Linked DNA regions of Bombyx mori. The main gene of each other region encodes a partner of the protein of the gene in region 2 in a complex. Links are inferred from orthologs where the notes say so. Each region holds a gene or a part of one and is shown on either strand. Other genes may lie near its edges.

Region 1 (2,259 bases), on a different chromosome or scaffold from region 2:
CATTAGTAAAATTCACTTTAAACCGTAAAACTAGTTTTAATTATGATATTTATATGATAGTTGAGTATTTAGGAATATAAGTAATAATAACACTATTAAATTATGCTTAAAAAAAAAATTAATTCAATTATTAAGAACTGGAAATCAATGTGAAATAATAATTGAAAATAAAACACATAATAATAATAATAAAATGTGCCCACACATACATAGCCACACACACATAAACCAACATATAAGCTAACATAAACACGCATAAGTAGTGATAATAATATTGTTTATCTAAATTTGACATTGATCCATGTTTATTTCTGTTTCTATTCATTTCTTTTTTTTACTATAATCAATTTTATGATTTCAATAAAGGCGGAAGACCTGAATATACCTTCAAGCGTTTTATTCATTTTAATGGATAATTTCAGCTCCACTTCTGTGTGCATTATAAGAGAGTGCATTTACTAAAAACAAACGTATAGGTATCATACTACCGACCCGCCCTCGCTTCGCTTCGGAAACTGTAATTTATTATTGATTTCTCCACTATTTAATGGATGTTATTATACATATAAACCTTCCTCTTCAATCACTCTATCTATTAAAAAAAACCGCATCAAAATCCATTGCGTAGTTTTAAAGATTTAAGCATACATAGGGATATAGGGACAGAGAAAGCGACTTTGTTTTATACTATGTAGTGATGCTCAGTGGTGAGATTAAAGGTAGCCTAGTCTTTACAAAGAGGCGAACTATTTCATTATCAAATTTCGTCAAAATCGGTTCAGTGGTCTGAGTGTGAAGACGTAACAAATACGACAATTATACTTTCACAGGTATCCAAGACGTATTAGGCCTCCTGCCGGGCCCTACAGTGGACGAGCTACAAACCCTACAACCTCGTATGACACGTCGCCATTCCGGTTCCAGTGAGAATTCATCATCAATAGAAAACCCACGGGTCGTGCTCGTATTCTTCATTGGAGGCTGTACGTACCACGAGATCTCAGTGCTCAGGACGATCAGCCAGCAGGAAGATTCGGTTGTGGAATTTGTTATCTTAACCACTAAAATAATCAATGGAACCACATTCATAGAATCTTTAATGGAACTCGATTGAGCCAAAAATTGGTGTATCCTTAACATAGGATATAATAATATATTAATATACATTCTGTCATATTAAAAAGAAATAGACTGAATCATATTTTTATTCAATTATGAAATAATGTCATGAATTTATTTTTATGACATAATAGTGTTCCAAATAAAAACAAGCCCAAATAGTATAGATGTCAAATTATATCCCTTTTATATGTAATTATGTCAAAAAATATATGAAATAAATTAATTGCAAACGTAAAATAAATTTTCAATACACAAAGCATGAAACATATAATATTAACTGATAAATGTACACAATGTATCATATAATTTGCTGTATTCTATGATATTTCTTGCTTAAAAAGTTCCTGTATTTACAAATTTAGAATACACCAAAAATATTATTCTGGTAAATATTATTATTATTATTTAAAATATAGATTCTTTTTTTAATATATCACATTAAATATAAGTCTCTGTTTGTTTTATTGTTATAGATGTGTAAATAATTAAATTGTAATACAATTAGGTTTAGTTGCTTCATGTATTTTATTGCTTCAATTTGCTGTTAAATATGGGCGAAGAAATGATAATTTCTCTAGTTATATTTTGTAACATGCAAAATTGACTGCACTAGTAATAAAAATCATAATACTGGAAATATATTTTATTCTTGTCTTTACAATTTCAAAGAACACTTAAACAGATCACCATAAATAATGATTGTATTAAAACTTAATATTCGTAACTTGCATATACATAAAATTTAATTTGATCAGTATTTATATAAACTAACATAATTCTGCTTGCTTACTCTCTATTATATTACAAATTTAAAGCTTCAGCATAATATAAATAATTTCATACATCTTATTTATAGACTATTGACTATTCTCATAAATATTCATTACTTGTGTATTTTGTGATGTTTTTGGATGGTGTAATACTGACACCATAGTTCTTTGCCAAAGCTACTAATTTCTCATTATCATAGCCAACTTCTTCTTTATAACATCTAAGCATTAAAGGCATCACTGTTTCTAAAATGAATTTGAAATTCTTCTTTGCATAACTAATATCGTTGACTGATGCGAGGACAAGCCATGAATTGAATATTGTATAAATGTATTCATCAAGGTTATCCATCATATCTTTGTTCAC
Region 2 (4,240 bases):
TACATTTACACATATTCCTAAAGCTTCAAACCAATTACGTCCTAACAAATTTGGACCCGAACCCTGAGCCACAATAACCTTAAGAGAACATTTAATGTCTTTATATTGTACTAGCACTGTGGCTTGACCGTCCACTCTGACTGCAGAATTATTCCAAGTACATAATTTATTCATCAAAGGTTCCAAAGGCATGTGAGAGTGTATTCGACGCCACGTATGTAAATTCACAAGAGAGTAGGCAGCACCCGAGTCCACTTCCATAATCACTGGTACACCATCTAGTAACACATTTACTTCGTAAGCTGGTACGCGCCGACTATTTGTGTTCACGTTGTAAATACCATTTAATTGCGCTTGAAATTCATCATCTGTATAGTTAATGCTCTTTCTTTTGTTGTTTTTCTTAGATGTACATATCTTTTCAATATGCCCTTTTTTCTTACACTAATGACAAATTGAATTAATATATCGACACTCTCCACCGTGTCGGTCTCCGCAGCGATAGCACAGTCGAAAATTACGTTTGAAATTGACGACATTCACTTCCATAGGCTCGGCATGTGACGTCACTACCTCACCCTGTGTCATACCAAATGTGTCCGTGCTCGTGCTTTGAATCATGCGCACATCCTTTCCGGCGCTCTCCGATGATACCATAGCATGTACAACATCTTCATAACGAAGTTGTTCTCTCTTCAACAACTCATACTGAAGCTTATGATCGCTCATGCCGCACACCAGTCTATCTCGAAGCATACGTTCTAATTCAATAAAATTGCATCCCGAACTAATTTTGCGTAACGTAGCAATATAATCAGAAGCCAATTCGTTTGGTGCCTGATCTCGTTTGTAGAATTTGTATGACATAGAAATTTCATTTGGTTTCGGACTGTAATGTTTGGTTAGAATGTTTTCAATTTCAACAAAAGTCACATCACTAGATTTTCTTGGTGTAATTAACGCGAGAACAGTTTCGACCACTTCAGCACCACACACAGTAAAGAAATTAGCCTTTTTAACAGTATCACTTTCGATTCCATTTGCCTCAAAACAATATTTTAGTCTGTCAATATAACTGTCCCAATTATCCGATTTTACATTAAATTCTTGGAATTTTACTGATTTACGCTCCATATTAGTATTTTACGATCGTCGCCAATATTATGTTTTATTATTTAATCAAGAACTTAAGCACATGTGTTCGGTAACAAATCAGTTCATTGTGTGTCTGTCTTTATGCAACCCGCACTTAGCAATCCTTTTATTAAAAGGAGAACAAGTACCCTCACTAATACACTACACATACACTATGCCGTGACAAACTGGTGTAGTACTTAAAAGAAAGGGTAGAAAATTTGTGTACGACGTATATTGCTTCATTATAAAACAGGGGAAGAATGATATGGAAAAATTAAAACAGACTTCGGAAGCAACAAAAACATCAGTGAGTACTGTTAGGTGCATTATTAACGAAGCTAAAGGCTCTGGCTTGCTCGCCGTGTTGCGGACTCCGGGTAAGAAAAGATCAGGGAAGAAGAAAGTTACCGGAATGGATAGTTTCGTTCAATCTGTAATAAAAAGATGTAATCATAATAACTACATAACAAGCAGCGAAACTCCGTACCGTAGAAAGGCTTCGAAAAATTTAAAGAAGATATAAATTTGAATGGCTCGGAATGAAGCTTACGACGAATTATGAAAGAACTAGGCTTCAGATGGAAAAAAGAACAGAAAATAATCGGAAGCTGGTAAATGAAAAAAGTAACATTCGATTACTACGAATCGAATATCTTCAAAAAATAATTAATTATAGACAAAAAAGAAGACCGAATCGACCGAGTTGTAAACTACGCCGATGAGCCCTATGTCGACTCATCACGATGATAGCGACTCGGGTGATGAAAACAGTGATGATGATGATGGTCAAGATTATGATAACGAAAAAGAAAATACAAATACCAGCTTCGCTTCAACTGAACCAAGACCTGGCAACAGCTCTAGTTTTGACTTAATAGAAGGAATATCTATTTTACCCCAAGATTAAATTATTACAATTATTAACCTATATGTTTTGTTGATGTTCTAATAAATAAATACATATGTTGATTTTAATAATTTTAATAGCCTTATGACGCAGAGTAAGTAATGTTATTGCACGTGAGTGTACCATGCGCAAACTTACCCCCACTACGTCAACAAATGCTCAAGAAGTTTGCCGGTTATTATAACATGTTTATTTATTTGCTTACAGAAAACAAGGTACTTTGAAGTCTGACATTTTTTTCAAGGTTTCATCTCCATCTAAGTGCTAGATAAGTGCAAACCATATTATTTGAAAGTAATCAATCTGAGATGAAGCTGTTCAAGTTTTATTAAATAATATGTTAAACTGTTTAAAATGTATATATATCTTACCGAATGCAGCTATTGCTTCGATCTGCACGGTGGCATTAAGCAGATGTGAAACTTCATACGCTTCGTGCATTTTACACAATTTTGTAATTAAAACAACAAAACAATTTCGTTTAGATGAAAACCTTACACGAATCTGAATCCTCCCATTTCGTAGGAAACTATGACTTTGTGTTTATCAAGATCCTTTTTTTTTCGAATACCCATAATAAAATTGCCAAAAGTGAATTTGGTGCATCTACAAGCGGAGGATATATTATGGTTTATTACATTAAGCTTTTGTAAATACCAAGTAGAAACAAAAAATAATATTTTTATGAATGATGACAAGCAATGTATGAATACATAAGTTTTGGTAGGTTTACAATTATGACAAATAAATGTGTGTGACATTCTAGTAAATCTGACATAATGCCTATTTTTCATCTAAGCAGGCAAAGGGAAGTAGCCTGGATAGAAATTAAATTAATAACGAGAAATTAAGCCGTAAAAATAGTTTCAATTATGTCTACGATCCTCAAAAACCGGAGGAAATAATGTCTTTAGTAACAATTTTTTTACCAAAAGCAATAAATAAAAAAAGTATAAAAATTATATTATGGTGTCGTGGGACACCAGGTAGGAACGAAATTCCTTCGGCTAATGTAGAATCGACACAAATTGCAAAAAAAATCGTGCTCAATTTTATGTAGGTTTTCTTGATTTTTCTCTTAAATTTTCCTGATTAGTTTTTATTTAAGTACAAGAAAGTATTTAGGAAATTCAATATTTTAGGAAATAATAAATTACTTAAAATAAAAAAACATCGTAATTCAAATTATCAACTAAAATAACAAAATATGTCTCTTTATTTTTGTTTGACAACATAAAATTACATAGAAATAGAAAATAGAAAAAATAATAGAAAGAGAATGGATGAGAGAACGAAAAGAAAGAGGGAGAAAGAGAAAGGTATTATACACTACTCGCTTGTGTATGCGACTGTCGCGCCTGCGCACGTCTCATTTAACGGTTTTATTCCACGCACTTTTTTCCACGGATTTTTTCTTACGGTTTTATTATCACATTTTTTTCAGTTCGGTCACGCAGCAAAATCCCTATCCCCTCCAAGCCTGCCGTAAGGAACTTCGTTCCAAAATCATACAATGAGGAGTACATTTATTTCAGACACCCAGTAACGCCTAGTTATTCGAGTCGTTTAAATATCATATTATAATATGTACCCAAAATTTGCATCGGACCTTCTTCAAAGTCTTTATCTAAATCGTTATTTATTAAATCCATAGTACTTATCCATACACTTCCACTGCTGTTAGCTAACTAATTGCAGAAATTGTTAGTACATATGTCGTGGCGTCGCGTGTTGGTAATGTGCACGGTGCATATCGGGTGTCGTATCAACACGTTGCGTCACGTCGTGTTTTATTAATGTTTTTCCGCCTTTATACCAGTCGAAGCTAGAAGCCGTGCTTACAAGTACTGTGCGCTCAAATTCATATACGAAACAAGCGAACCTCAACTGTTATAATAAATTGGAAAAAAATTGAAATGTCCTTGGGACGCCGAACATGATAAAATCGCCACAACCTCCGTTTCAATTCTATATATATATATTTCTACAAAATGGCAACTTTTCGCATAGTATTCTTAGAGGCATTTTGGTAACAGGCCCGAGGCCGTAGCATACCATTATAAATAAGCAATTTAATCGGTAAATTTCTTTATTTTTTTAAGCCATTATCATTTATACATTTATTCCTGAAAAACACCGAATTGACAATGTAATTCAATTCAGACAGCTCCAATCCAGCTCTTCCCACCAATACAA

What was found.
Region 1: vam6/Vps39-like protein (region 2) and vacuolar protein sorting-associated protein 33A share a complex: the UniProt entries of both Drosophila melanogaster proteins name them as parts of the homotypic fusion and vacuole protein sorting (HOPS) complex. The link is inferred for Bombyx mori from reciprocal best matches to the Drosophila melanogaster genes Vps39 and car.

The regions. Positions count from the first base shown.
Region 1 is NC_085122.1:6,418,093-6,420,351, forward strand, and holds the end of vacuolar protein sorting-associated protein 33A, read left to right. Parts: intron 1-830; coding exon 831-1,114; 3' UTR 1,115-1,759; downstream 1,760-2,259. Other genes in the region: exocyst complex component 8, read right to left, coding at 1,993-2,259. UniProt on the Drosophila melanogaster protein: Core component of the class C core vacuole/endosome tethering (CORVET) and the homotypic fusion and vacuole protein sorting (HOPS) tethering complexes involved in endo-lysosomal vesicle trafficking and lysosome biogenesis.
Region 2 is NC_085124.1:8,489,232-8,493,471, forward strand, and holds the start of vam6/Vps39-like protein, read right to left. Parts: upstream 2,801-4,240; 5' UTR 2,486-2,800; coding exon 2,416-2,485; intron 1-2,415. UniProt on the Drosophila melanogaster protein: Part of the homotypic fusion and vacuole protein sorting (HOPS) tethering complex involved in endo-lysosomal vesicle trafficking and lysosome biogenesis.